2 linked regions of the Styela clava genome follow. The protein of the gene in region 2 purifies or fractionates together with the protein of the main gene of each other region. This does not show direct contact. Links are inferred from orthologs where the notes say so. Each region holds a gene or a part of one and is shown on either strand. Other genes may lie near its edges.

What was found.
Region 1: the proteins of uncharacterized protein LOC120329709 (region 2) and uncharacterized protein LOC120344534 purify together in Homo sapiens (co-immunoprecipitation; 3 studies listed by IntAct, with this or other methods). This does not show direct contact. The link is inferred for Styela clava from reciprocal best matches to the Homo sapiens genes RRP1B and LYAR.

The regions. Positions count from the first base shown.
Region 1 is NC_135254.1:1,073,135-1,089,982, reverse strand, and holds uncharacterized protein LOC120344534, read left to right. Parts: upstream 1-9,652; 5' UTR 9,653-10,349; coding exon 10,350-11,486; 3' UTR 11,487-12,021; downstream 12,022-16,848. Other genes in the region: transmembrane emp24 domain-containing protein 5-like, read right to left, coding at 3,509-3,727, 4,059-4,254, 4,908-5,005, 6,433-6,585; small nuclear ribonucleoprotein F-like, read left to right, coding at 7,730-7,845, 8,993-9,140. UniProt on the Homo sapiens protein: Plays a role in the maintenance of the appropriate processing of 47S/45S pre-rRNA to 32S/30S pre-rRNAs and their subsequent processing to produce 18S and 28S rRNAs. Also acts at the level of transcription regulation.
Region 2 is NC_135261.1:8,614,750-8,631,193, forward strand, and holds the start of uncharacterized protein LOC120329709, read right to left. Parts: upstream 6,135-16,444; 5' UTR 6,075-6,134; coding exon 5,932-6,074; intron 5,116-5,931; coding exon 5,008-5,115; intron 4,809-5,007; coding exon 4,499-4,808; intron 3,914-4,498; coding exon 3,824-3,913; intron 3,238-3,823; coding exon 3,040-3,237; intron 2,243-3,039; coding exon 1,994-2,242; intron 1,562-1,993; coding exon 1,453-1,561; intron 488-1,452; coding exon 1-487. Other genes in the region: peptide chain release factor 1-like, read right to left, coding at 6,819-8,138. UniProt on the Homo sapiens protein: Positively regulates DNA damage-induced apoptosis by acting as a transcriptional coactivator of proapoptotic target genes of the transcriptional activator E2F1.

The sequences.
Region 1 (16,848 bases), on a different chromosome or scaffold from region 2:
GCATTGGACATTCAAATAGTTAAGAGTTATGCGCAAATCGTACTCCTGTTTTTGCACAGTTTAAGTCTTATAGTAATAATATAAATATATTTTCTGCATCTGTTATACTTTACGACGGCTATCTAGTAGTCTAAAGCAGGGGTGTGCAAGCTTTTTTATTGGCCAAATACAAGTAACTGGGTGAAGCCGCGGGCCGCACCTTTATTTAATTTAGGCTTTCTGGTAGTTGCAAGCACAAAAATTGCTTATATTTGCTATTGATCTTACGGCATTATTAGGGTTTCTTGCAGAAATAGTAGATTTAAAGCGCATAAACTTCTGAAGAAACTGCTATTTAAATTTTTTGTCACACCGACTTCAAACGAATGCAGTGAGAAACACGTTTTTGTAATATAAATCGTGTATTTTGCCACAGAATTTTGCTAGTTTGTTTTGCTAATATGACTGGTATGGGCTTTGCGACGATAAAGAATAAATACTCGTTTTGCGGGTACACCATTCGAAATTGTTATTTCTCCGCGGGCCGCACAACTTCTTCTTGCGGGCCGCATTCGGCTCGCGGGCCGCAGTTTGCACACCCCTGGTCTAAAGCGAAGCTGTCGTTAATTGTAGAATACGTTTGACCGTTATCTGCAAGTTAGACGCCTGACAATCAATTATTTTGATTGGTAGAATTACAAATTCCATTATGATAAAACAATTTATGCACAGGAAGGCGAAAACACCCGGTTACATACCGCACATGGTGCCCAAAATCGGCGAGGACACGAAAAGTTCGCTACCACAAGGTACAATATATCGCTTAGACTGGGTTTTATTCATACGTACAGCGCATAGGGCTACAAGGCGCAACTTTTAAAGCAATGTCGGTTTCAAGTGTAGGCGATGAAGCACTACCTGATTCATACATTTTCTTGCAAGGTTAGCATTGTTACAGGAACAAGAGAGCTACGCCCAAATATATGGACACGTCTGTTCGCAGTACAGTACGGTTCACCGTACCGTCGATCACAGTCTACAAATATATTCACACCAAGCGAAGCAGTACAGTAGGACACAAAACGGCGTCCGATGTCCGCAGAACGTTTAATGACGTCATAGCAAACAAAAACAAATCTCACAGAGCTAACAGAAATATTTAAAATGAATAAAAGTAATAGCCTTCTGGGGGAAAATTTTATCTTCAACAACTGAAAATTTCAAAGCAATTGGTGCAGTATTCGAAGAGAAAAGCGTTTTTTTAATATTTCCACTATGTGTGTTATTCTGTGTTAAACAACAAGAACAACATAATATTGAAACGATCGTTATGTCCACTACGTGTCCAATAAACAAGGAAATCGATGTTCGGAAAAATACGTAGTATTTTCAGGCAGCCCAGCAGAATAAAACAAACCCAGACAAGGAACATGCTCATAATATGAATATATTTCACTTCGATATGAAACTTCAAGAAATTGTGAAAATTCTATATACTACAAAAGTGCCGACTTATGCTTCATGCTATTTGCATTTTGTTTAAAAGGCTTCTTCCATATGCTCTTCTTAAGGAAGACTTATTGTCTTGGCCAAATAAGTTTTGTGTGTGTAACTGCATATTGTAGCCAACGTACAAATACAACAAAGTGACAAATAGCATCATCGGTACCTGTCTGTTTATTTTAAGGGGAGGGCTTATATTAAAATCATTTTTTCAAAAGTCAGGCTAAGTCTTATTTTCGAGGAAACACGGTAGGTACCGCCTGTTTAAATGAAATTATTCTGGCCAGTCACGCCTCATTTCTTATTCTAAAATTATTAAACACACGATAATAATAAATGACTTTCCTACAAAAGTTATAAAAAAGTGTAATTTTATCATTTATTAAATTACTGCCATGTAAACTGCAAAAAGTAAAATAATAAATGTCTTCACGATATAATTTGTCATAATGCAGTGGTTCCCAACCTCGCGGCCCCTGCTGGAGGCTTTTAGCACTCGTGGTCCCACTGTTTGTCATTCCAGTAGTATTTATAGTGTTATTTGATTGGTAGATTCCGAATCCCGTTATGTTCAAACAATTCATGCTCAACAAAAAAAAAACATCCTGTGAAATAACCTTGTCAAGCAATGAAATTAGGAAGAACAGGGGAGTTAACTCGTAAAGGAAAAATCAGTTTTGCGCCTAGCATTGTGGCCCTCCTTCAACCACTTTGTGGCCCCTTTGATGGGCCACGGGACCCCGGTTGGGAATTGCTGTCACAAGAAGATTGTTGATATTGAAAAATCCATTATTCCTAATACATTTCAAAATAATATGTTCAAATATATTCTAATTTGTGTTCAACAGAAGAAATTTGCAAAAGTCCAAATCTATGAAACTTTGTGGAGATTTGAATTTTGTTAAAGCAGCGGAATTTTATTTTTGTGTCGATTGTCGTAAGCTAAGCAACAAATAATAAATTTTGCTCGAAAATCTTGTGAATGTTCCAATAGGATAAAATTCAATGATCCCTAATGGATATTTCATAAAAACAACACCTATGTATGTTCGAAATCATTATTTCCAGATGGAAAAAGGAAGACCTAAATATAAATACTTAAAACTAGGGTATGGTGGCTCTAGTATAGTAGATACTAAAGTTCAACAGAGGAATTTGCATTTTAAGATGTTCATAGAGTTCCACTTGCAAAAGCAGCACAGTTGAGGTTAGCAATGGATTATCAGACATCAAATTTTACTTGGAAACTTTGAAAGTTCGAAAATGAAATTCAATGAACTCTAATGGATGAATATTTCATAAGTACATCGCCAGTATGTTAGAAACCATTACTCTTGATAGAAAACAAAGACACAGAATACCAACTTCTCCTCCCCAACAGTGTATGGTGACCCTAGCGTCGTAAATATCACATATTAAAGTCAATATAATGTTTAACAGAATTAATAATACAAATAAAAGTAATCTCAGGTAGACCTAGCTATTTATTGAGAACCCAGTAAATTAAAACAGCTTTGCCAATAGTATGATTAGCCAATTTGAATTATCTTGTTTGTAGGGAATATACTCCGAGCATGGGGATGTGCACTCACTCAGAAATAAAGAAGACTTCATGAACAAAAATTTTTCTAAATGAATTTGACCATTTTTACCCAAAAAATTCAATGAAATTTCACAAAACGCAACTCAAAATATTATAATTCCTTTGCGAAAGTGAAGTTAACCTATTCAAGCAGCAATTTTGAATACAATATTTTTTTGATGAACCTATCCCCCCCCCCCCTCTGTGCTTTGGTGTCCCTCTGGTTTTATTCCAACCAATTTGAAATATAAAAAAACAAACAAGTAATAATAAGCAGCATTTTGAAATACAATTTTTTTTATTAGCCTACCCCCCCCCCCCCCAATCCCCCCATGTTTCAACTGCAACCAATGTAAAATATTCGAAATTAAAAGAAGCATTTTTAGTAGAAATTTTTTTTCATTAGCCAGCCCCCCAATTCCCCCCCCCCTCTGTGTTTTGATTTTAAGTGCGGACTTTCCTATTGTCTGAGAACATGCTCCTAACTGTGTAAACTTGCAGAGAAAGAACAACTAACATCACGATGATGTTCAACGCGGACCAGAAGTTAACGCGCTCAAAATTTCGCTCAGCGATTCCTCGATCTTTGGCCTCAAACGCTCGTAATAAGCCTTGAAGTTGAGACGTCTTTCCGAGGTTCGATCGGATCACATTCATGGTGTCCTGGAAAAAGAGAAATTTGAATTAAAATGATTTACAGGCATATTATAACTAGGGGTACTACTGAAGTATGCGTACCAAGACAGCGGATACCGGAATGTAGTATGTGTACCATGTTAGGATGAGGCCATAATTCTATTCCTATATTCCTTACTTTAATTCTATTACAAAATCGGGACTAGCCAAGTGACTTCCGTAGTATTTGTACCAGAAATTATGGCTTAACCCTAACCTGGTACACATACTACGTTCCAGTGTCCGCCAGTCTCAAACAAAAAACTACAAATTATGTATGTTCCAATCACAGACATGCATAATGACATGACGAATTTACCGATGCTACCTCCAAAGATTGGAGCTTGTCGCCGTATTGTTCATCTGGTTCGACAGCGTCTTTCCAGCCCCCATCCTCTTCTTCTTCCTCCCCGGCAGAATCTTCAATGATCTCGAAAAATACGGTTTTCCCCGTCATACGACTGAATGAGTTGTCGAAACAGACAACGTAGTCGCCTTCAACTGTCGGGTCCACACTGAAAAAAAAATGAAAACATTTTGATAGGAACTTTTCATGATAACAAATCTTATCAAATGCACAAGGGTTTCTCCATGTTTTTGGAGTTCTACAGAAAAGGTTGGAAACCACTGTCCAGTGGCCTTTTCAGGAATAATAGTCATTTCATATCAGTACAGAGCCTTGTTTCCAAAAGAAAAACCTACGCTAACAAATATGGAATTGATAAGGATGTCTGTATCAGTTATACTCAAATGTAGTTATATCCGGCACAGTAAAATTTTTTGTTATGAATACCTTTCACACTTTAATCTGTACAAACATGCACCGACTATGGGTACTCCCGTAGTATGTGAACCAAGATGGCGGATACCAAAACGTAGCATGTGTACCAGGTTAGGGTTAGGCAATAATTTCAGGTACAAATACTACAGGAGTCACTTGGCTAGTCTCCGAACTCGCAATAGAGCTGAAATATGGAATAAAATTATGGCCTAACCTGGTACACATACTACGTATTGGTGTCTTCTGTCATCTTGGTTCGCACACTACAGCAGTACCCCCAACTATATGTGGAGCTAAAGGATATTATCTTTCCCGTTCAGCATTTAAGCAATAATTTCAAACATACCATTTCAAAATTTATGAAGATCCTTATTCAATGGAACTTACGTGTGTATCCCGTCCGTCTTTCTCATATCGCTGACAACAACCCGGCCATCCGGTGCTTGAATCATAAAGTTGATGTCGAGATCTCCCCCGTCTATGACCTGGAAAGAAAACAAAATTGCTCAAATAACGAATTTCACTCCAATTGGGGCTTTAGAAAGCGACCACTGAGATAAAAGAAATAATAAACCATCAGTAGCTAAAACATGATTGTAAAGATTGCTATCTTTGCGATTTAACTTTATATAACTATTTCATTGCACTTGTAGGGTCTAGTATAGTTTAGTACCACAAGTACTTCCAGTGGGCGCAGCATAACGAATTATATTATTCCTAACATGACTATATCATCCAAAAATTCGGCACTACGATGTCACAATCACGTCATATAGCTTGCCAATGTATAGCTACGATCGCCCGAAACAGCATCTACGCCGACCGTAACAAACTCTCAAACACAGGCTGTCTCTCTCATATCGGGACCGTTGCGACGAGAAAAATAGCTTGCTCGATTTCGGGTGATCGTAGGCGCGTTTCAGACGACCATTTGTACACTTTGGAGGTCTTGAATATGCCACTGTGACGTAATAGTGACATAATTTTTTGGTAAAGTAGTCAGGTGGGGGTTGGAATGACATATGAAAAAATTGTCGAGCCAGGCCGATTAGAAGTAGGCTATATGTGGTACTAAACTATACCAGACCCCACTAGTATTTTTCAACACTTTTGTTGGAGTGGGATCTGAATGAAACATTTAGGAAGCTCGATTGATTCCTGTGCAGTAGCTCATCGAATAAAAGCATCATTCAATCATCATTATTTGAGTGAGTTGTCAGATAAGCGAAATTCGATTTGTTGACTGTTTTTTGCTAAGAACATCCAATTTTTTTTTTTTCTGCAAATTAAATTATTTTCTTCTGAAATCCTATAATGCCGTTTTTAGATTACGATTCTTTGGTTACTGCGCAGCTTCATTTTATTCTGTACTGATATCGCACTACTAAGACATGCTATCTGCTGATCTGGGAAAGAATCAGCATTTATCCTCTTTAAAATTCGACAATATTGCTCAATTCTGCAATTTGTTAAACGTTGCATACTCCGATACTGTTGTTCCCCAACATCAAGAAAAATATCTGTAACTAGTTAACCATTACAACGAGAATATCGGTCAGAGACCGAAGACTTATCAATCGAAAGTTAGGGGATCCCCCAAAACAGCGCTCTTACTCCATAGTGACACCTTGTGTCCCATCACTAATTAATTATTAACTCGCTAATTATACAACATAATTCATCCAAAATCAATAGGCTCCTAGTACGACATATGATGAATGCACATGCAAAATCTGGAGCAGATTCAATCTCGCTTTCATGAGATACCGGTATCGCTTGCATCTAACAGACAAACAAATACCTATCAACATACTTACCGATTAAATTCGATAAGTAATAATGATTAACACTGTTTTCGGCTTTCACCTCCCAGGATAAATACAAAAATAACATCCTATTGCTATCAACAAACCTGAAATTCAATGTCCATTGCACGTCCTGCTTTGGTTGTTTCATAAAAGCATTCTCGTTTCATCGGCGAAATTTGAACGGTAAAGTCGACATCCCGGTACCCGAATGATCCTGCTACAATTACAGACAAATAGAAAACCAATTTGATAAACATTTTGTCTATTTCGTCTCAACTTCAAACAGAAAAAACTCCAATCTATGCTGAACGCCGGCGTACGGGAAGCAAACGACACGAAATGCGGAAATGAGAGCGTAGGGTCAGGGGTTAAAGTTGAATTCTAGTCGTGGCAACCGCCTCGATACCCTTTTTCAAGATCTTCAAATTATCGTATATTTCTTGCGCTGTATTTTAATTTAAGATCTGGTATTACTTTTATGAATGTAATATGTTTATCTTGTGGACAAGATCTGCCACAAATCCCCTTCAAAAAATTTTATTGATTAGGGATCTCAAAACTGGGGGTCCCGACCACGCATCAATTCCCGCCATACCGGTGGGTCGCGAAATGACATAATGGTGGTCGCGGTAAAGAGATTTCAACACCAACTATATTAAAACAAAATATCGATTCAATGTGAAAGATTGATACGTATATTCGTCAAAATTTGATCTTTTGTGTGAGAATATGCGAGCATCGATCATATTGAATGTATCGTCAATTTTATTTTTATTTTTCAATGGTTTCTGTTTTATCAAATTTTAATTTTAGTACCTAAGGTCACAAAAAAAATTGGCCGTGCGAAGTGAGTCATTTGGAAAAAAAGTTTGAAAGAACATGGGTATGGATAAAGTGGACGTTTCGGATGTGTACGCTCGTGCGATAGGTATTATTTTAATTTTTTATCTACGAAATGAAACCATGGCTCGTTTTATTATTTTTCTGTTGTTATTATTAATTTTCTTGTTACTTTATGAAAAAATCGCTTTTCTCATTCACTAATGGACCTTGACTTTGAAATTATCATTATTACGATATAATAAGTTATACTTATACGATATTTTTCAGTTGTTTATTATTGCTATAATCCTATTTTACACGATTACAGGATTAGGATCAATTGGAGATTGAATAAATGAAATGCTCTTTATGTATATTGAGGTAGAAATAAAGAGCACGATATCGGAATTCAACGGAAAAGGTTGGGAACCACTGGACCATACAAATCCAATCAACGAAAGCAAGAAAAACCAGACTCCGTACACCACCGATAGAATCGCACGTTTGTCGCGAGTTGCTTTGTTGATTAGAATTCGTGTTTTCTAGTTTCTTTCCAGCAGATATCAGCAGAAAATCATCATGACTACGCTTCCTATGAACCCGAAACCATTCATAAATTCATTGACTGGAAAACCTGTCATCGTGAAACTGAAATGGGGAATGGAATATAAAGGATATCTCGTGTCTGTGGACGGGTAAGAACTGATTTATTTAGTTAACAGGATAAATCGGGCCTTGCCAAATAAAAGCTCAGATTTTATTTTACCCTGGAAGATAGGGAAACCGTTAGGACAGATAATCCTGTAATAATTGATGCGATGGCAAGCGTATCCATGGCTTTCAAAATGATGCATCAAACATAGCCGTTTCTTCACAACTTTTACCTTAAAAAATTAAAGTATGGCACAGTTCTACGATTCCAAGAATAACCTCCAACATTTAAAGACATCATTTAAAATAGTGACTGCAAACCTCTGGCACCTCTATATCACCACAAACTGGAATTACGCAATAAATTAAATGGAAGTGGAATCTAAAAAAATTGGAATCCACAGAAAAAAGCGCGGCGATGTGGCTCAACGGGTTAAGCGTTAGGAATACGGTCGCCACCACACTTCTAATTACTCTGCGTGGGTTCGCAGGTTCGAATCCCATGCAGAGATGGTTATGTGCGAGAGGATTGCTGGACTCCTCGCCGTCATTGGGTGGATCACGTAACCGCTGGTCGGTTACGGCTTCCTCCACCACCAAGTCCATGCTTCCGAAAACAAACAATATATCTAATCCCATACCCAACTTGGAATGGTAACCGGACGAGAGGCCGTGGCTCGCCATATGGATAAGCCGTCTTATCGGCTTTCCTCTCCCCCGGGATAAATATGTAAATCCTATCCTAATTTAATTTACCAAAGAAAAAAAAATTAGTTTAACATAGAATTCAAGAGTTTGTCGTCACGATTGGTTTATACTATTATCGCAACGAACATGAAACAATCTTACGCAACTGGCATTGTACGAGATGCCCTTATTTCAGAGACAAAGCGGGTATTTGTTTTATTGAACCAAATCTTGGAATCGTAGAACTTTGTTTCACTGCAATGTGCCAGTCGCTGAGCTGAGTGGTAGCAGTTTGTCATATGATTTTGTTGTCTCATCAAAATTCCTCTTTGAGATAAATATAAAAATGTCATATCTCAGTTGAAAACTTCAAATAATTTTTAAGTCTGGTTCCCCCTTTTCATGTAACAACTAACTGATTGTGGCTGGATTTCAGCCAATTTGACCGTTTTTTTTCTCCTGGATAAATCTTATCTCAAGTTAAAACTTTAAACAATATTCCAGGTATATGAACATGCAACTGGCAAACACAGAAGAATATGTTGACGGGGCTTTATCAGGACATCTCGGAGAAATATTGATTCGTTGTAATAACGTACTTTACATCCGGGGAGTAGAAGAAGATGATGAAGAAGGAGAAATGAAAGAATAATCCTCCCCGGGAATTCCTTTCTATACTGAAGACTTCCAAACCTAGATACAACACTTTTTTTTTTTTCGAAAAGAATCATTAAATTTTGAGCTTTTGGGACTTAGTTGAATGTCCGAATGTTTTATCTAATCATAAACTTCTCTGCCATTATGGCTTTTCTCGAGATCATTCATCCTCACGCCTTAGATTTTGTTCCAGAGTGAGAATTGATACCTTTTAACTTAATAAGTATGCCTAATGCTTTCAGAAATCTGCAGCATTAAGCTTGGACTTTTTATATTTTTCCCACTGGTTTGGTGATCGCATCTACGATGGTTTTTACATGGGTCATTATATCGAATTTCAATAATGGAAACATTGTCATATGTGTTATGTGAGCTGTTAAAAATGCTTAGTAAAATTGCTTTCGTCTTTTAAATTTTGTTTTTGACTTTTTGACTTGTTCTGATTTAAAGCATTTGACCTTATTACGACAATATATTTGAAAATGTGCTTAGGAATTCTTATTGGCCACCCTTGGTTTAAATTCATTTTCTAAACTAATTTCAACAGATTTTGCAAATTCACTCATTTTAAAATGTATTATGAATTGCAGATTATTCTTTTTGACCACCCTTGGTACAAATATCATTTCCTAAATTAATTCCCACAGGTTTTTTGAATTCACTGAATATAGATTGATTTTTATGTGTTCCTTGTTCAACATCATAATTCAGAATGTAATTGGTAAAGAATACTATTGGGTTTTGACCATTCATCAGTTTGTAACATTCTCTAACTAATCTAAATTATTAGATATCATTTCTTTTTTCCTGTCTAAAGCTCTGATGAGAGTAGAAATGTTCAACGGGGAGGAAATTCCTAAAATTCTTGTTTTTGGGACCAAAATCATAATGTATCTGGTATGACAGATTAAAAAAAGTTGATTTTTTTGGCAACCCCTGGGTTTAAGTAAGCCTTTGTTAAATAAAGCGTTTTCACCCAGTTGTTTGTATTTGGCGCTCTTTTTAAAGGTTGCACATCCCTGGTTTAAATAATATTTTTAAACTAATTCATTGACTTATTTGTGTTTTGGGCTGAGAATTCTGGCAACCCAGAAATTTTATTTTAAAATGTATTTGGAATAATAGTTTATTCATTTCATCATTTTTGCGTTTATTCTGTCCAACTTTTTTTCTAACTTTTAGACTTTAAATAATATTTTAGAAAATGGTTTTCTATACCTGCAGTGGCTGTGGAGAATCTTTAAAAAAAAACAAAGTCGAAAAACATGTTTATACTTGCCGCGGATGCGAATATTTAACCTGCATTGATTGTAGTTGTGATTTTTACGGCGACGATTACAAAAACCACACTTCGTGCATCACCGAAGATCAAAAATATTCTGCTAAAGGTACGGAATTTAAACCAAATAAAGGTGACGTTAAGCAACAAAAATGGCTTGATAATATTGACTCGATTCTGTCGGATTCTAACTCAAATTTGAGCTCAAAAGCGAAACAACTTATTGAAAATCTAAAAAACTACGATAATATTCCAAGAAAACGCCCAAAATTCCTCAATTTTTTGAAAAATAGTTTGAGAATGTATGATTCGAAACTTGGGGAGGAAATTTGGTCGGCTTTTTCTGCAGCAAACGGAAAAAATGATGTCAAAAATTGTAAAGGGGAGTCAAATGGGGATTCCCGGGAAGAAGAGGGTGTTAAAATAAAGGAAGTTGAAAAAACTGCTGAATCAGCAAAAAATGATTCCGAAATTGTCAATAAAAAAGATAAAAAAAAGAAAAAACTGAAATTGGATGAAAACGTTTCAAATAATCTTGAAAAAGATGAAATTTCAGCAGAAAAACCCAAGAAAAAAAAGACTTTGAAACATAAAAGAGAATTGAAAGACAAAAATGAGAGTTCAGTGAATATCTCGTTAAATGAAGACAATGAAAATGCTGGAAAAGAATGCGAAAACTCTCGTAAAATAAAGAAGAGAAAACTGGACACCACTGAAAATTCTGGAAAATCTAAGAAAAAGAAGAAAGATATAAGGAATTGTAAAGAAAACAATAAAATAGGAAAAACTGAAATTCAGAAAACCGATGAAAATAGTGGGAAGGATGAAATTATAATGAAAAGTGCTGATAATTTGGTGCTAAATCACGAAGAAAATGCTGCTATACTGAAGAAAAAAAAGAAGAAATCTAAAAAAGGCAGAAACGGACTCAAAAATGCTGATAATGGGATTACTGATGAAAGTTTGATAAAAATTGACAATTCGGAATTAAAAAATGTGGGAGTTGACTCGAAAATAAAGAAAAAACACAAAAAGAAAAAAATTAAAACCGAAGTTGATTGAGAAATATTTCTTTCTGCTCCTCCCTGCTTATTACCCACCAGCTATTTGCTCCGAGCAAAGCAATGGACAAGGCGAGTTCTCCGTACTTAGGGGCAAATTTTGAAAACAATATTGATTAAAAATTTTACATAGACATAATTGGTTTTTAGACTGGAAATCAACCATGGTTTGATCAGCAATATTTACCGAACTATTTTAAATAAAAGTTGAAAAAAAGTTGATGTTTTTTTCATATATTCTCAAAACAGTTATTTTCAATTTTTGGCTTCTTGGATTAAAGGCTTTGTATTGCTTATTGTGCTGGATCCAGTAATATTTCCTCTTTGAGTAGAGCTCTAAAGAAGAAGAAAAAATGATATATAATTCAGACTAGAGAATATTACCAATTACTAATTTTTTAAATAAACTTACCGGTACTAATAAATGGCCAAAACCTTATGATCCACTGTACTGAATTATAGGGCCATGTTTAAACAAAGAACACATAGAAGCCCATGTATCTACTGTTTCAAATGCCTTGAGGTAGAATTTACATATTTATCTTTTTTTTTGGGGGGGGGGGGGTGGTAAGGCAGCTTATTTGTGTGGGAAACCACGCCTCTCGTCCAGTTATCAGTCTATGTCGGGTATGGGATAACTTGACCAGGTATATGCTTCAGATTCATGGACTTGATGGTGGAAGAAACCGTAACTGACCGGCGGCGAGAAGTCTAGGACTTCTTTCGCAAATAATTAACATTTTATGTTGACAATATACTCAAAACGAAGGTGATGCTATTTAATGCGATATCTGTACTTGTTCACCATTAACTGTTCCCAATTTGGAGATATGGCGGAAAGTGATACACGTAGCGTGTATCTTACATCCAGCCTACTTCAATATTTTGTTTTTGTAGTTGTCAATATTAAAAACTTGGCCTCACATAAATACGATGTCGGAAAAGGTAACAAAAACTATCAATGTCTGTAAAGCTCCTGTAGCTATGGCTGGGTATTGATTGATGTTTGTTTAGCCATAACAAATTTTATTACAAAATATGCTACCGTAAAAGCGCCTAACTTCGGACAGTCCCTAACTTCGGACAAAATTTTTGAACGGCCATATCTTGGCTAAAACGCGCCGTATATTGCTAATTTTAATTATTATAGGTTGTGCTGTTATATCTACATCTATTCTCATCTTTTTTAATGTTGCATAATTATTTTTTTGGTAAAAAAACGGAAATTTTGCCGAAAATTGACTGCCCGGCATTCAACGGCGCAGAGCGTCGCTCCTACTGAAGCTATCGTCGTCAAAATACCATCATTCGGTAGAGGGCGACAACAATGTATATAATTTATTTGAGTGATCGCAAGATGTCGTACGAGATTTAAATAAAATCTAAAATTCTGAATTATAAATTCCGTAAGAATATTAAGATTTCACGCAGCGTCAAAAATTACGTCAACCTCACGTAGATTATTTTTCGCTCACCTACGAAACGACGTCACACTGCGTCGCGGAAATGAATTTTGACGCCAGACACAACGGAGCCAATATGACAATTTCCGTTAAGATAAAGACGGCGTTCCAACGTAATATTTTTGTATTTTGTTCGGTCATGTATGAATATATGCCAAAATTACATTAATGAAAATACATGTCACACTTAATCGATGACGTTAAAAATCGAATATATAAAACTATGATAATTCCAACGTCCATATGGCACAGTGCACTGCACTTAACCATTATTTTATGATTAGTAGTCGAAATGACAGTTATTGAATACGGCCTGGGTGAATTTTATTCAATCGAAATTAAAAATAAATTTAATCTCCAACAAATAAACGGGACCTACATGTTTACAAGATTAAGTTGAATTTTAAATTAAACTTTACAATCGGATTTACCGTGTGTTTGATATAAATTATCATTTATAAAGATAACCGCGCAGAATAAAAAAAAGCTATCTGTCGAGAATATTAATACTTCAAAGACTTCGATAGAAGCCCGTTAAAATACTTCATTGTGGATTGAAACGGTTTGTATCAGATATATTTACGTATGCATTTCCTGATTAAAATGACTAACGTGTTATTATACTCATCTGAAGTATCGAAAATAACGAACGAAAGATGTAAACATAGGACCACGGAAGTTTCAAATAATGCATTTTCGTCGTGACGTCAATGTTACGTTACGACGACGATCGAGCGTCTTATCTTCACGCAACGACGTGATTACCTCATCCGCATCGGAAGCCTCTTTCTCTCTGTGCGTCGCGGTTACGCAGTGAAGAAAATGACTGTCCGAAGTTAGGGCAGTGAAGGATAACGGTCAAATGGCAAGAAATATCGATTATTTCAATAGTAAAAATAGTCCAATTGAACCGAAATTTGCAGGGAATGTAAATTACCGCACGAATGTTTTACCGAGCGCCGTTTTGGCGCCGTTTGGACAATAAATGGCCGAGTTATTGACGAAAATATAGTAATTTTGTCCGAAGTTAGGCGCTTTTACGGTACCCTTGTGATTATAGAATTAACACTGACTAGGTATGACCATATATATATTATATACACAAAATTCGATAAGATAACTCATTCATGGATTCTATGTCAACCCATTCGTATAGTTCGCCCTTATTTGTTTCAGATGCCCTTAATTGTGAATAAAGCCGTAGCCGACTTTAGATCCGTATTTAGCCGTTGCCCAAGGATGCTTGAACTAGATACAGCGATAAGTAAGAATAACATAATCTCTTTTAACGATTGTACACCGTGCTAAGCGTTAGGAATACTCTCGCCACCGCACAAGTGGTTCCTAACCATTGTTCAAGCGACCCGAATTTTTTGAAAAATAAATTTAGAGAAATCTCGTAACCCAAGGATATGCTCAAATACCAGACGGTATGTAATGCTTATACCTTAAATCAGGGGTTCCCAAACTTTATTGCTCACGGGCCAAAATCAGAACGGGAAGCATGTTTGCGGGCCAGAAGAGTGTAGCGCCCGTAAGTGTACGACGGTTTAGCTGGGGCTCAGTGGATTCACTTTCATTTGACATTTTTTTAAAACTTGTTTGTTTGACTCATAATTGCGCTTGATGTTGTATTCCTTCAGAACTGGAATAGTTCGTTGGCAAAGAAGACAAATCGCTAAAGTTTGATTTGACATCTCTAAGATTTCTTAAATGGCTCATAACTAAATTACTCCCTATGTAATCCTAATACCGGTACGTATAATTGAAATGCCGGTGTAATTGAATTGTGACGATAAACACGTGCTTAAACTGTGATAATGACATAACAATTATCGGTATCTAGATCGCAAAAAGTAGAAACAAATTCTGTTGAACACTATTTCACTTAAGCTCGGCGGATCATTTTAAATCGTCACGCGGGCCGGATTTGACCCGCGGTTTGGGAACCCGTCTTAAATGGCTCGGCGGTGTGGCGCATCGTGCTAAGCGTTAGGAACATGCTCGCCACCGCATCTCTGATTACCTTTCGTGGGATCGCAGGTTCGAATCCCATGCGGGGATGATTATGTGCGAGAGGATTGCTGGACTCCTCGCCGCCGTAGGGTGGTTCACGTAACCTCTGGTCGGTTACGGTTTCTTCCACCATCAAGTCCATGCTTCCGAAAACAAACTGGACTGGTAACCGGACGAGAGGCCGTGGTTCGCCATAAGATTAAGCCGTCTTATCGGCTTTCCTCTCTCTTAGGTTAAATATGTAAATCCTATCCTATCCTATGGGGTTACAAAATTACCTGACTGACTAATAACAGCGAATGCCAAGTTTCTACGCTGGGACACTTCACACATACACGATTACTATTGAGCAAGACTTCAATACTAAATAAACGGTACTCTCGAAGTATGTGAACCAAGATGGCGGACAACGGAATGTAGTATGTGTACCAGGTTGGGTGTATGCCATAATTTTAAGTACAAATACTACGGGAGTCGATTGGCTATTCACCGAACTCGTAATAGAACTAAAATTGGAATACAATTATGGCCTAACCTGGTACACATACTACGTTCCGTTGTCCGCCATATTGGTTCACGTACTTTGGAAGTACCGAATAAACAATAAATTTACTAGGAAATAAAAGCAGTGATTTTAAGGGTTTTGTTGAATAAACAAACGACCTTCGAAATTTCTGGGTCGTGACCTATGGGTGGAGAAACTCTGGTCTATCCTCTTCAGACGAAACCAGGTATGAATGAATCAAACAGTCAAATTATCGCGTCTAAAGCAATTTAGAATTATTGCCCGATTTTAAGAGAGCCAATTAAACAGCGGATGGACTCAAAGTACAGCGGTCACTTTTGTTTGTTTAGGGCGGTCGTGTCAAGGTTTACGTTTATCGATTCGCAGGTTAATTAAAAGACAGTAATTTGACTTTAAAAATATGGGACCTATTTAGAGGAGAAGATAGCGGTGGGAAAGGTTATATTGATTCAGTCATTTGAATGGAGCCTTCTGTAGAGAGCGATTAGGCTGCCGTATAGACCAGGGTGGTCCAAACCCAGGCCCGCGGGCCACATGTGTATGTTACAGTATGTTATTGATGAATATGTGATCTCAATCGCTATCAGGGGCATAGCCAAGAAGGGGAGGTTTTATAATTGTCAAGTCAGAACGTATCAGGTGGCGGGTCAAACCTGGAAACGTGGTTTTCAAAGAGTTTTAAATGAGTTTCAATATACGAAAAATGAATCCTCCGCAGCCTATTGGACTGCCATAGACAGCAGGTTAGGGATAGATATATGGTCCCAAACGCCAATTTGAATTTGGCTTAGATGTTTTGTATTAGATTTATGCAAAGCATGTCATGTTGATGTAGCTGAAGCAACGACATACATTAGTAAAAAAAGACGTAGAGCCATCCCTGTTGTTAGTTCGATACATAAGTGAACTGCACATAAAAACTACTGTATTTTTCTATCTTTGAAGGATGTTCAGGTAGTGATAGAAGCAACTCGCACTCTTTCGGACTATGCGCAGTTCGAATATTTCATAATGTTTCGCCTTCTAGTGAAAATACAATCTTCAGCTACTGAAAATTTCGAAGCAATTGGTCTAGTCTACTATTTTTTCATAACGATAAGAAGAAAAAAAAATAAATACCACATTTTCTTCTCTCAGACGTTTTAGATTAATCACTAAAAACGTGTAGGAAAGATTTCTTGCTATCGACTACGTCAAAAAAATTCGCGATATCGACTAGGTCTTAATTCAAGAGGAGGTCTATTTTAAAATAATTTTTAAAATTCAGGTCAGGTCTTGTTTTCGTGTAAACACGGTAGGTAAGCTGTAAAATATAAAGTAGATCTGCATTAGTTTTACGAGATAAATTACACTCGCAT
Region 2 (16,444 bases):
GATTTGGCAGTACTTGGTTTTTGAACATTGTTACTTAACGATTCAAGGTTATCTTTAGTGGCATGACCATCTACATCTGTTGAGCATACGATAGTCGGATTATCCTGTTTTACGCTATCATTTACGGATTCTTGATCTTGTGAATTGTGAGTTGCAGAATCCAACCACACCTTTAACTGTTTTTTGGATTTCAATTTGTCTTTGCGCTTCAACTTTTTCACTAAAGCTTGTTTACATTCTTGAATATCTTGTAATATATCTGGGATGTTTTCGGAAGGTTGGGGCTCAGTTTTGGAAATTTCTTTCGCTTCAGTTAGCATCTTTGCCTTTTTCTTGTCCTTTTTCTTTTTTGGAAGAAGTTCTGATACTGTACTATTGACGTCTTGCTCAGAAGTGCTGCTGCTACTTTCTTTCCCAAGATTTGAACCAATGATGATTGTTTTTTGTTCAATCTTTTTTTTCTTCTTCTTTTTCTTGGTAGAATTGACTGAAATAAGGAGGATTTAAATAAAGTAGGTGAGTCAGTAGGGAATTACGGTAGCTCTACAAAAAAACGCGGAGCAGAGTATATGTGGATAGGATTTACATATTTATCCCCGGAGATAGGAAAGCTGATAAGACGACTTAACCATATGGCGAACCACGGCCTCTCGTCCGCTTACTATTCCATGTCGGTATGGGATTAGTTAGCCATTTGTTTTCGAAGCATGAACCTGATGGTGGAGGAGGCCGTAACCGACCAGCGGTTACATGAACCACCGTTCGGCGGAAAAGAGTCCAGCAATCCTCTCGCACATAACCATCCCCGCATGGGATCACTATGAAAATGGAACTGATACTTCACAAGATGGCACTTACTCATGCATTAAACCTGATAATAATTATCAGTAAATATTAGATAAAGTAAATATCTCACAGATGCTAATGTAAAACACAGAACTTGCAGTTCAAACCACAGGGAAAATCACTTTCCCATTTGTATTTTTAACCAGTCAAATTGCAATTGAAAATGTCTATAAATTTGGCTCAAATCATTTTTAAAGAGTAGCAGGAAAAATTTGATTACTGTCATATATCATGGTTTGCACAAAAGTCAACAGAAGAGATAAAAAAAAGCTTTTCTATGGGTGGCAGATATCTAGATAACTTAATATTAACTGCAAATAGTGCCTCAATGTAAGTTTCCCTGACGTTTGACCACACTAAAATTCATCCTGTACTTTACCCACACAAAATATTTATATTTAAATATTATCATTTTTAGCAGCAAAAAAAGAATAAATAATGTTTATAAATATCCTTGGAAATTGTAATTATTACGTACGATAAGTGTTAAGTTACTGATGATTAGACATTCTCCTGATGCTCAGTGTAAACATCCATTTCAAGAAGTACAGTATTGATTTTTGTAAAATATATTGATAAATTTCTAGTTATCCACAGTTACCGTACCATTTATAGATGATTGATTATTATTGGTATCAACATTTTCAGATGAATCCACAAAATCTTCAAGACTTTCACTGGTGTTGGCATCAATATCTTCCTTTACATCTATAGCCTGTGAAACCGAAAAATTTCAATTATTATTTGAAAATAGTTTCTTTATAAAGCTATAATTAATTACAAAATATTTTCAAACATGTTTTCTCTACTTGAAAAGACTTTTTCAAAATAAGAAAGATGTAAAAAAAATTGTGTTGCTTTCCGAAGTCAAATACCTCTAGCAGGCATGCCATGCATACTGGGTACTCCCGTAGTGTGTGTACCAGGTTAGGGTTAGGCCATAATTTTATTCAGATTTTCCTCATTTTAGTTTCAGTCCCTTTACACAACTTGATGCAAAGTAGGCGAACAAAATTAGTTCCCCCATATTGATTATTGGTACACGCACTTCTGGAGTGCCGCATTTTGTACCATTGGCATAACTCCATACATAATACAAATAAAGACTCCTGTATGAGCATCCATAGCCCTAATGCACACAGCTTACCGTTGGGACCATTAAATCATCATCACTATTTACACCATCCTCGATTTGTCTTTTTCGTTTTCGCCTTTTTGTTTTCCGATATTCTCGTTTGTCTTCCATTTCTTTCCCGCTCTCAGATATGATTTTATTAGCTAAGTCTTCTTCCAACATTTTAACTTCATCTTCAGATGAATATTCTGCATCTGGAATATCGCTAAGCGGAACGCGGCCTTGAGCAAGCTCTCGAAACTTCTCTACCATTCGAAAGACCTAAATAAACCAACATATCATATTGAAAAATCAAGTACATGCCAACTAAGAACACTCTTCAGCTATGTGGACATAAATCATTGATTAATTGACTGCGATTTGAATGAAAGTTCAAATGTGATGGTGTTGCATGTTACAGTTTGAATGCCTGTTATAATAAACACCATTTCCCCACCAATTCACTATACTGTAAAAGATTGTGCACTGCTCAGTTAGGAAAACTTTCACAAATATTGAGCTGAAATCGTACTTTTAAACTTTCATAACAGATATTGAAAAAGCCTTCCCAGCAGACAATAAAAAAGGGCCTATGGCCAAAGTATGGTTTTCCTGAAGTTGGAAGCCGGGGATGGTTTAAACTTCTAAGATTTGAGATGAGGGATGTTGCACTAATCCCGATTTTTTCACGTTGTGAACAAACCTGAAATCAGCGCAACAGTGCCCCCACTCTAGATCAGGGGTTGGCAACTTTTCTAGTCGACGGGCCAGATGTCAAAATTTACCACAATTTGAACTTTTTTCAAACTGGAGTCTTTCTTAAAACTTAGAGTTTGGAGTCACAGCTAGATGTGAATTCAGCCCGAATGGGCCATCTTGCTTATTGTATTACCAAACCCACCAGATATGTACAGGTATGCAGCTTTCTCACATGCGCTTTCTCACGAAAAGTAGTTTTTATTGTATATTCTGTTTTTTTACCATGTTACGTTAACCAAGGTGTTGAATCTTTCCTTCGCATGTCACTGCAAATAGTAGCAAGAATAGCAATCTCTACATCCTACACCGAAAAGCATTACCTTTTTTCTATTTCTTGCTAACACACCATCTTGACTTGCCAGTTCAAATAAACGATCAGCAAGTCCGGAATAATCAACATTCAATGCTGTAATTGGTGACGAATCGTAACTTTCTGTTTGAGTATGACCTTTAACATTTATAGAAACTTCTTCCTCTGCGAGCAACTCAAGAGCGGGCTTAGAATTATCAATGAGTTCCTAGAAAGATAAGATAACAAAGAGGTCAATAATATGAAGAAAAATTAGTCAGATAGAACAGGGTTTCCAAACTTTTTGGGCCGCAGACCCCTATTTGTGAATCTTAGTTTTAACGGACCTCCATCCAATGTCGTATCAGTTTCTTTGTCTAATCAACGAGGAAGAATAATGTTTCATTATTTTGCCATCATATATGTAAGAGCTGAAAATGCTGCCTCAAACATGTAGGTCGTTGCAAAAGACAATCAAATTGTAATTGCCTTTTTTGACAGCAATGGATATTCGTTCACAACGCTCAACCAAAAAGATGCAATGGCTTTTTGATTGAAATCAATCATTGAAGATCGAATAGATGTTGCGGACCCCCTGTGCAATCATCACAGACCGCCAGGGTTCCGTGGACCCAGTTTGATTCATTAAAAATTTGTCTAGCTCAGAAAAGAGCACCACATCCGATATTTCTCAGAGTGAGATATTACGCAGAGGCAGTTCACAATATGATCAAGCTTTTCTATGCATTTCCCTCCCATATGATAAATATGTTACACCGAATCCTATTATGTAACATAAAATCAACATCACAAACCTGGAAGACGTTGGTTGCAACTGCATTGACAATGTCATAATTCTTTGCACTTGCCACAATGATACAGTATGGATCTAAAAACCTCAACACCTAAATTTGAAAAAGCAATGTAGGTTTATTCCATTTGTTGCATCAACAGTTACTCCCACAGCGAGGGTACCAGGTTAGGGTTAGGTCATACTTTTATTCAGATTTTCCCTATTTCAGTTCTATTACGAGTTCATGAACTGTCTGTGTTAGCCAAGTGAATATACCCCCTGCCCATAGGGTTAAGTCCCTTTACACAACTTGATGTAAAATAGAGGAGCAAAATTAGTTACCTCCATATTGGTACACACACTTCTGGAGCGCCCATCAACATGCCAAATTTGGCAAGCATTTATCATAGGACGTTGTATTTTGTGGTATACTCAATCCTTGCATTATGTATTGATCCATGTCGGGTATGGGATTAGTTAGCCAGGTATTTGTTTCAGATGCATGGACTTGATGGTGGAGGAGGCCGTAGACACTAAGTTGTTATGGGAATCACCCTATGGTGGTGGCGAGGAGCTCAGTAATCCTCTCGCACATAATTATCCCCCACAAGATTGTACCTGTGAACCCACGCAGAATAATCAGCGATGCGACGGCAAACATACTTCCTGACTGAACAAATAAAATACTAAATCTTACCATTTGAGAATCTAGTTCGTCTTTGCATATTTTTGATAATTCTTCCAGATATATGTCACTGAAGTGGTACTGCATACCAGATACAGGTTTTGTTGGACAAATCGGTCCATTTTTCAGGATAGCTAGAAGCCAATCTACGTTTCCAGCATCCCAACTTCGAGTTTTTAAAAACTCAAAAGCTTTTCGCAAGACGCATCGAACTAACAGATAGAATTTATCCATCCGAAGTCTATCTATTCCCTTCCATTCACGTTGCATGGTTTCAAGAAATGTATCAAAAAATAACATCGCTGTTTTTATATTGGAAAGCCTGAAACCAGAATGAAATATGTTACAAAATTTAAAACAAACTCATTTACCGTAAGACAGGATGTAGGTAACACATGTCATGAAATTTTATAAAAATTACAAAATAAAATTTCTGTAAAATGGTGTAAGAATAATTAAAATAAATCATTAAGAAAACTTAGGGAGTATCACAGACTAACAGTATTTGAATATGGACATACCCTGGCAAAAGATCTGATATTTTATTTGCAAGATCTTCTTGTACAAGAGGTTTATCAGACATCCACATGCAGTAAAATAATCCTTTCCAGATACTCAGCATCTCAATTCTATGAAATAAAATCGCATATCCATAGTTTAATATAATATTTTTTTACACCACTCAACATAAAGTGAGTAGGCTATGACTCTTCAGATCAGGGTTCCCAAACTGGGGTCCGCGGATCCCTGAGGGTTCGTAATGACTGCACACAGGGTCCACAAGGATATGAAGAGTCTGATCAATCTTTCAGCATTTTCAGCTCTTACCAATATGATGACAAAATACATGCAGAGTACTGTACACTGTGTTATCTTTCCTCGTTGGTTAGTCAGAGAAATTGATAAGGCTCAGGATGGGGGTCCGTGAAGTGGCGTGAACCTAGGATTCACAAACAGGGGTCCTCGCCACTCCGCGGCCCAAAAAGTTTGGGAAATTCTGTTTTAGACGATCACTCCCTATTCACTCAATACAAGGCTCTGGACAATTAGGAATTTTAAATTTGCCAAAACGACCTCAAACCTCCCAGTTAAATATAGCCACGGTGATGGAGAGCCTTTTAGAACAATCAGGAGTGGAGTCGAAATATTCAAACTTTCAATGCCAAAATAATAAGGCTATGGATAGGGATAGGATTTTATTTACAATCCTGATTTAACAATACATAGCATATTTGTGCAAAACTTGCAACATCACAGAATATTTAACTGTAGGTAATATTGAGACACATAGATTGTAATCTATCATTATTAGGAATAGTGAGCCCCGAAAAAAAAATCAAACTTTTTTATCTACAGTAAATTATACCAAGTTGTTCATCACCGAATTAATTTTTATTATTCTCTGCCTGAGATAAAAACAATGTAACGACAAAAAACATACACACCTCGTGAATCCACCATCTGTTTTTGCCGATCTGAGATTGAGAAACTGTCTTAATTTCTTCAGAGCTTTATCCCTACATCTTTTATCGTTTCCAGCTAACCGTCTGGCAAATTCAGCCTCGATTGAAGCAGGAGCCACAGCCATTTTGGGCTTTTCAAACAGGTAAATTTAAAATTATGACTAAAAGTCAAATATGAAAAAAACATAAATATATTTTAGAATATTATGGACATTAATAAATATTTGACTAATTCGTAATAAAGAACTTGGAACATGTGAACAATAGCAAAAAATTGGCATTTAAAAATATCAAAAAAAGATGCTAAATTTCATGCTCAATTATCAAGAGTTCACAATCAGTTGTTTATAAAAAACACGCTTTTCGACTATAAAAGCCATGTTTAGCAATCGGAAAGAGACACTGAGAAACAATATTTTTTTAATAGGATGGTCAATGTCAATACATTTATCACATTTAGTTTAAATACTGCAATAAAATGCCTGCAATACTGCCCAGTGACATCTCTCGATAGAACTGCCATCATTTTCACACCATGAAACAATATAAAGAGCATTCTTATACCAAATATAGATTTATAGCCAATTAATAAAAGGTATAATCCAAATATGTAGCCTACCAAATGTAGCCTGCCAAATGTAGCCTGTCAAATATGTAGATAATTTAACAAACTCAAGTTGCAATCAGCAACTCACTAGGTAATGTAATAACCTGTAGGTAATAGGTTCTGCCACTGATTCATTTGCAGCCAAGTCAAGTTCACTAAAAAAAAATATTTGATTGTACCTGTATAATAATATAAGTTAACAACAACATTTTTAAAACTAATTATCGTTTCCGGTAGCCTATCAATCATAATCAGATCATAGTTACTTTGAAACAGCTGATTTGACTTTCTTGTCATTAAAAAACAATTGTCCTTCATCAAGCAAAATTTTACTTGTAATATTTAATTCTTCCAATTGAGTTTTACTGTTTAATTTTTCCATCAAATTAAGCAAAGTTGTTTCACCATTAAGAAACTTTGCAATTCCATGGGTAGTGAAGCCAATTCTATGATCAGTCACACGATCTTGATGATAATTATAAGTCCTAATTTTATCGGAACGCTCCCGATTTTTGACCTGCTGTTGACGAGCTTTAGTGAGAGCACTTTGTTGCATACTATGTTTTTCTGATGCTAATATAGCTTCTAGCATTTGCATAGCACGATCCTTATTATCATGTTGAGATCTTGTAGCATTACATTCAACAATCTTTCCAGTTTTAATATGTTTTAATCGAATTGCGGATTCAGTTTTATTTGCGTGTTGACCACCTGAAGAATTAGAGCGTTTAAAACGTTGAACCTCCACATCTTTTTCATCAAGTGTTTCAGTTCGATTGCTAAAAACTGGAAGTAAAGCGACGGATGCTGTACTGGTGTGTATTCGTCCAGCTTTTTCTGTCTCTGGCACACGTTGTACCCTATGGGTACCAATCTCATTCTTAAACAATTGATACATATTTCTATCTATAAAATTTATATTTGCTGAAGACTTCTTCAATCCTCCAATATCAGTATACTCGACATTTAAAATTTCAAAATCATGTCCAAATCTTATACAAAAAGATTGATACATTTCGAGTAATTCTGATGCAAAAAGCATGGCTTCTTGACCCCCAACGCCCGCTGACACTTCGAGAACTGCGTTGGAAACTTGATTATCACCGTGCATTATTTCAAAAAGCTTCGACACAATTATTTCATTACATGACTCTATTTCTTTCAAAAGTTCTTCTTTTTCATCTTCTGCAATTTTAATTAAATCATCTTTTTCATCAGATTTAGCTTCAGTTAATGCTTCAGATACAAAAGATTCAACTTCTTTTAAATTATCATGAACACCGTACAGATTATCAATATCATTGTTCAAATTTTCCAATTTATGAATCGCAACCTTAGGATTGCTCCCAAAAAACTCTAATAATGAAGGTGGCCATTTTGTCTTTGAGCTAGATTCTATATTTAAACGTCCATAAGCAAACTTGAAATAATCAAAAAGATCTTTATGGTGAATCTTCTCTCCTTTCATAATCGAAGACGTAGACAATTGAACAGCATGTCTGATAATGCCACAACATGTAACTGATTTGTGTAATAATTGAGATTTATTGCAACAAGTCCGAGTGAGGAATGTTAGAAACATAATACAGGTTAATCCTGTAATTATAGTCTAAATAACAAACCTAGAACTGATGAACAACAGAATAGCAAATTCACAGATTCCAAAAATATCCCCAATATCTGAATATTTAGATATATGAAAATAAATAAGATGAAATTTGGTAGGAGACATTTCTTTAGTTCTTTACTGCTGTACTGCCTAACTGATACAGTGATATGGGACATGCATGCAATAAATTAAATATAGATGTTACTTTGACAGATTCATATTCAGATATTCTATTTCCATCGTGCATGAAGTATTGTACCGACACAAGTAATAAAAAAAATGGTAACAATAATATCAATTGAAATAAAGAGACATACAATATTACTGCAAGTGATAAATTGATCAAAATCTTAAAACTGTAACAAGCAATGATTTAGAGAAGAACATTTTGTTTGAGTAATAGGCGACTGAGTGGGGTGCCTTTTTGCATTGATAGCATTATGGAATTTGAAAAGAAAAAATTATGATGAATTATTTGACTGATAATTGTTGATTCTATAGTGAATTTAAACTATAAGTTATTTAGAACACTATATCATTGATATTCAGGGTCTCATGTAGTTCCTACCTAACATACTTCTAGTGGGCGTAGCATGACAATTTTTTCACGTATCAATCCTAACCCCCACCTGACTACACCATCCAAAAATTACATCATTACCACGTCACAGTGAAGTCTGAAAGTAATAGAGCCCTTCAAACTATATGAACTCGTCGCAACGATTCCAATAAGAGAGAGATCGATAACGTCGGTCAGTTCTTCTGTTCTTTAGCGTCGGCGCCAATGCCATTTCGGGCGATTGTACGTATATTTGGCAAGCTCAGTCTATGACGGGATTGTGATCTCGTAGTGACGTAATTTTTGGATGGCGTAGTCAGATGGGGGTTAGGATTGACATATCAAAAAATTGTTATGCTACTCCCACTAGAAGTACGTTACGAAAAAGGTACGAAAATACACGAGACCCAATATTCAGATATTTAAGTATTATCAAGGCATTTCAGTAAGTGTGGCCCTCGGCTAGCTTACGGGAGAGTGACAAGTGTCCATCCTCATTTTTTGTCCAACTTACGCCAATTGTCACTTCTACACTTCAACATTCAGTTCGACTGTCAGACTGTTCGATAACAATTCACTCATTCAGATTCTATAAGTTCAGAACTTTATCATAACTCACAATTCAGCAATTCTGTAATTGAATATTTCATGTTGCAGTGTTTCGTCCGCTTGAAACATGTAATAGCCTACCTACTCCACTCAATTACGCGAGTTACCGTATGTTATATCCCTATTCTACATGCGTCAGTCAGCAGACATATACATACATAAGCATATGAGGTCCCAACTTTTTTTTTTTGCCAAATTCAAATCCATTGCCAAATCGGATTTATACAAATGATAGTTTTGGTATATCCAAATAATCAAATATATATTTCAATATTATTGCATGAGGTCCAAATTTTATTTTATTTTTGTGATGTTATTTAGGTGATTTCATACAATGAATAAGTATACAATGAAAAGATTACGCAACTAACTGCAGCTAATAGCCATGCTGCAACAATGGTTATTTCCCGACCCTTGACCTCACCTCGCCAATGCAAAATATTACAATAATATTATTTTTTTTTTGAAGGTGTTTCAACGATCTGGTCATTATATAATAACTGAGGTTAAAAAAAATATTCTTATCTATATTTACACTTTCCGTAACTTTTATCTTCATTATGACGAGTATTGGGATAAGTTAACATTTGCATATTTGTCCCGGGGGGAAGGAAACCGATAAGACGGTCTTAATATAAGTTTATCCGACGCCATAATCAGCATAACAGCAACAATGGTATATATTTACGGAAAAACAAATAAATGAATATTGATCATGAAATCAGAAGAGCAAACCAAACCTCAGATTAGGTTTAAAACATACAGATATAGGATGGAAAGTTTTGCCAAGGAGGATAGGATAGGATTTACATATTTATCCCGGGGGATAGGAAAGTCGATAAGACGGCTTAATCATATGACGAACCACGGCCTCTCGTTCTGTTTTCGGAAGCATGGACTTGATGGTGGAGGAAGCCGTAACCGACCAGCGGTTACGTGAACCACCCTACGGCGGCGAGGAATCCAGCAATCCTCTCGCACATGATCATTCCCGCATGGGATTCGAACCTGCGATCCCACGAAGAGTAATCAGAAATGCGGTGGCGAGCGTATTCCTAACGCTTAGCACAATGCGCCACACCGCCGAGCCAAGAAAAGGTACGTGTTCACTAACCTGAAATTAATAAATGAATTCACACACACTCACATGTACCACTCGCAACCACAGAGATATTATAAAGTAAAAAAAACGCTATAAACTTAAAAGATAGAAAACAAAAAAAAAAATAAATAAAATCATAATTATGTCTGAAATTCCGCCTCCGATTAATTTAGAATTTCGACTCCGAGTCCCGCTACTAGCTTCACAATGGTAGCAAAGTGACTATAAATTCCGACTTTTTGACATTGATGAACGGCAACTAAACCTTCTCGATAAATGCAGAAATGCGAGGTTGGTATAATGGATTTTATTGGTGATTTCCGTGTACAAATGATATTTAATGAAATTCTGCTGTTTATGAGAGATCATATACGGCAATTATCGTAAAGTAGGCCTAGTTCTGTAGTTGGAAAGATAGGTACGGTAATCATATGACATTACCGATATGATTATTCAGCCGTCCTAGTTTGTACCGCACTGCTGATTTACAAGCTAACGGTTGTGTATTATTACTGTATTGCTGTAATGGTCTATATCAGTGGCCAGTGGTTCTCAAACTTTTTTAGTCCCAGAGCCGCATTTCAAACCTCAAAGTTATTATATTTGATGGTGTAGCGTACCGGCAATGTATGAAATAATTATCCAAGTTCAGAATATCTTCTAATATGATCTGACGTCAAGTTTTCTCTCAATAGTCCAAGTCTTTATGCTATTTTATGTCATTTATTAACAACTCGAACAGTAAACGATCCAAAACAACCAAACACTCCCCAAAGGAACGAAAAGCATAAAATAAAAATAACAGATACCAGGCAGTAAAATGCAAGAAAGACCACATACACAACAAAAACACTGACCAACCCTGAAATCCAAGACAACTCTGAATAAAAAACCAAATGACCCCTAGAATCTGGTACAATGAACTAGCTACTGCAATTTGTAAAACAGGCCGAAAGTAACTTATGACAGGCATTTAAAAAGACTATGAACAATTCTATAGGTGCACAACATTTGAACAATACTGATGAAAGCTAATTCCACGATAAAACTGAAAATACAACACTACGGTAAATGAACTGTAATGGCACTGTACTGGTAAAATCAATAACATGGTCCCTACGTCAGCCCACTGTCCAGCACAAAACATCCGACAGTCACACAACACAGACAAACATCCCTGAAGACCAGACGCATTCACACAGACATTCAAAACCCACCAATCTAACCGAAACACTCAGACGACTCCACTCTGTCACACACAGCATACACCAACAGACCACGCTGCCCCCGAGAACCGATCGACCGTGTCGCAGCGTCTAAACTGCTAGAATACCAAATATGGAAACGATATCACATGACGTCATTTAACAGGCAAAACAAGGGTCGTCACATTACCCCCCTCTTCTAGATGGAACATTATGAAAGAATGTTTTCATCTCTAAAAAAAATATTTGAAACACGAAAAGCAGTAGTCAAAACCAAATTATGTCCACAAATGTCTTTAAAATATGCAGGCCGTCTACCCTCACGCTTAAGCATCCGTAAAGTTTGTCATTCGGGATTGAGTCCACCAACGTCATCGAAACGACCAAATTGATGTTGCATATCTCCATTGGCTCAACAATGGCTACTATGTTAGATCTCCGGACGGCCAAGGCTGTTGTAGCTGAACTAGAACAACCATTCCCGAGCGGCCGGTATAACCACATCTTCACTATAGTCCCATGACAGCAGGGAGAAGCTGTTTGGTGCTGTACCTTAACATCCTGTCCCTCAAGAACAAAACGATGCGACGAATTTGCCAAGATAGTCCATCCGTGACCCTAGATCGGCGACGGCAACGGTATGCTCCACAGGCCAGCTTTCAATCGTCAGGTTGACATCAAGTGCACCATGAGACACTAACGACTCGCCACTGGCAGTACGCAATGGTACTGGAAAAGAATACAGTTCTGAAATGTCCGAATTTCCTGCAACGTCGAGTAAACAGCGGTGTCTATGAGCGAGACACCCGAACCGAATTTTCCGCAACGTCAAGTAAACAGCGGTGTCTATGAGCGAGACACCCGCACGTGACCCTGGATCGGCGACCACAACTGTATGCTCCACAGACCAGCTTTCAATCGTCAGGTTGACATCAAGTACACCGTGAGACACAAATGACTCGCAACTGGCAGTACGGAGTGGCACTGGAACAGGATGCAGCCCCGAAATGTTCGAATCTTCCTGCAACGTCGAGTAAACAGCGGTGTCAATGAGCCAGACACCCGCACCGGTATCAATCAAAAACAAAACAGGCACGTTATTGACCAGAGCCTTGACATATCATCCATTAGTCCAAGTAATAGAAAAAAAAATCATAGTTCATAGAAAATATCCTGGCGTGCTCTCGCCAAAAATTGTAGCGTACCGGCAATGTATGAAATAATTATCCAAGTTCAGAATATCTTCTAATATGATCTGACGTCAAGTTTTCTCTCAATAGTCCAAGTCTTTATGCTATTTTATGTCATTTATTGACAACTCGAACAGTAAACGATCCAAAACAACCAAACACTCCCCAAAGGAACGAAAAGCATAAAATAAAAATAACAGATACCAGGCAGTAAAATGCAAGAAAGACCACATACACAACAAAAACACTGACCAACCCTGAAATCCAAGACAACTCTGAATAAAAAACCAAATGACCCCTAGAATCTGGTACAATGAACTAGCTACTGCAATTTGTAAAACAGGCCGAAAGTAACTTATGACAGGCATTTAAAAAGACTATGAACAATTCTATAGGTGCACAACATTTGAACAATACTGATGAAAGCTAATTCCACGATAAAACTGAAAATACAACACTACGGTAAATGAACTGTAATGGCACTGTACTGGTAAAATCAATAACATGGTCCCTACGTCAGCCCACTGTCCAGCACAAAACATCCGACAGTCACACAACACAGACAAACATCCCTGAAGACCAGACGCATTCACACAGACATTCAAAACCCACCAATCTAACCGAAACACTCAGACGACTCCACTCTGTCACACACAGCATACACCAACAGACCACGCTGCCCCCGAGAACCGATCGACCGTGTCGCAGCGTCTAAACTGCTAGAATACCAAAACGATATCACATGACGTCATTTAACAGGCAAAACAAGGGTCGTCACAATGGTCACAATGCAATGTGACAAATATTGTTTTTTTGTTTCAATTTCATGTTGTTATTACTGTATTATTTATCTGTAGTGCATTACATTTTCAATTTCTGGTTGTATATCAGCGTAGTTTACTTTTATCAGTATTATCTTTTAGACCAGGGGTTCTCAAACTTTTGGTGTTGCGGAGCCCGTGAAGAGGTTGACTATTATTCACGGAGCCCCAAAATAAATTTTAAAATTGTTACTTTCCGATTAATATTCCTGAGTAAGTTAAAAGTACTTTACTTAATTTAAATGCTAAACCTTTTTTAACGGGTTAATACAAGTCATAAATAAATCTAAATTTTAAAGATAAATTACCGTATATATATATTGAGGCTGTAAATTTGACACTTGACAAACATATTAATAAATTAGGGGTCAAATCTTTTTCTTTTGATATTTGGTGACCGTACATTTGAACCCACGTACATTTGAACCCATGTGTATATCCACGGGTTTAATCTATATGCGGGTGCTAAAACCCATGGGTTAAGGTTAGTATGGGTTCAACTATCCGAAAAACAAAAAAAATTTCATAGGTGCAATAGCATACAGGTGCAATTGTCATGGGTTCAAATGTAATGGAACCATATTTATTGAGGCTGTAAATTTGACACTTGACAAACATATTAATAAATTAGGGGTCAAATCTTTTTCTTTTGATATTTTTAGAAGACCTAAAAAGTCGCTGCGCGATTGCATTTTGTTACAATCGCCGACTGTTTTCGTCAGCGTGAAACGTCAAACCTAAACATCTTTACGTCTGTGTTTATTCTCCCTAAATCAAAAATTTCTTCCGGCATATACATGTATTTTTCCACAATGGCGACGATAATTGCTTTTTTTTTCTCGTGGGGAATTATGAATTCGATGTGAAAAACATGTTAATATAATATATATTATAGTCATCGGCGACGATATGCTAAAAATAATTAATAAAGAATCGGCGGTGAATTCGCAACTCAAATTTCTTGATTGAAAAGCGGCATTATGAAATATTAAAATTAAAACGGAAGATAACACTATAAGTTTTGTTTCAGCAGACTCCCGACAGATTTAAAACGCTCTTTTGGACATTGTAAATGTCCATACTTGGTGTTATGTCAGGTTTTCTTTGGGTATTCATCGTAGTAACTGAAATCGAAACACAGTCAATTGTGCGCGCGAGGCGCGATGTACCTTTTCTCCATTCTGAAACTACCAACGGAGCCGCATGCAATAACATAAATTTCAATCGTTCGTACGGTGATATCTTGCAAAGAATCGGATTGGCAGACCTGCGATAGGTTGGAGTCAGTGTTGCAAGAAGGGCTCGAATTCGCTAAACGCTATAATCTATCACACTGCCACGCAATCATCTGTCATGATCTGTCGTATTCAAGTCATGATTACGATGATGATTTGATCGGAATGTGCAGAAATATCTTATCAAATCTCTGACACCGGTAGTAGTTATATAAACATGTACTTTTGTGGGCAATATGACTTTGTTTCTAATATCTTATAATAACAGCGTTGTTCAGGATATACGGTAGTCTACAAGAACTTCGTTCACTTAACTTTGTTTCTCATTTCATGTCCGCGGATTGCCGTGGTAATTTGAGAAGTAATGATTTTTATTGTGAGTAGGCACAATCGCAGGTTACATTGAACGCAATTAACCCAATAAACAAATCATTTTAAATATGCCCGCATCGGTCATGGATTGCACAATTGTATATTGTACTCATCGAGTTTTAAAGTCGACCTTGGGATTTTGTAACGGCGATATCTCGCTTAAAAATAATCTTTAGTGCGAAAGAACAAATAAAGTTTAACAAATCCCAAGATCGCAAAAATACGATTCCAATTTATTTATAGTTGGCAGTTGTTTTATGTTATTTTAGAATACTAATCTTTTATTCAAGTAATCCTCAAAGTAATCTTGAATCAAACGTGAGTAACGATGCGCACAATTAAATTATTATGACAGACATTTTAAATGCACGCATCAGACAGTTACAAAATTAACCAAGTCAGTCTTTTGAAAAGTAATCAAATAGCTCGCGGAGCCCCTAGGTTTCTTTCGCGGAGCACTTTGAGAACCTATGTTTTAGACCAGGGGTCACCAAACTACGGCCCGTAATAACACGCAAAAATGGCTAAATTTTTTCCAAGGAACTTGTTTATTTCGTAACATTGACCAATCAGCAAGATGCAAAAAAACGGGACGTAATAAGAAGCCTCTTCGCATCTCAGCTCAGATAACTTTTGTCATCCTGACAGATTTCCAGTCGTGGTTGTAAACAATACTTCGTTTTTGCGACTTTGAATGCTATTCGTTAGTTTTTGATTGTGTTTCGGAAATTTAAGTATGAATCAAATAAGTCAACTATCATTTGCATCCTTAGGAGTTGTAGTTTTAATAGTAGTAATAAAAAATTAGTCTAGAAATAGCTGTGATAAAATAGGCTAAAATTCTCTACCGGTACGCAACGTTTTCTGCGAAAGATGCACTTGTACACCCGTGGCGCGTGCTTTCGACGAAACTGTTTACGTTTCTTGTGCTAAAATAAATGTTGAATGTGCATTTTGCGCTAACAGTACTATAATCCCTCGCGTACTGCTCCAATTTCATAAGTCACACTAACTTTTGTACTGCTCAAATGAGGATATTCATGTAGTATGTTACAAAAACAATTCATCCGATTTAAATAAAAACTGCGCCAGTGGATAGATCTGAGTGAAAATAGAAAACAGTACCAATTTTATAAAAAAACGGTCAAGAAATAACCGAGATATCGGAATTTTAGTACCGCCCGAC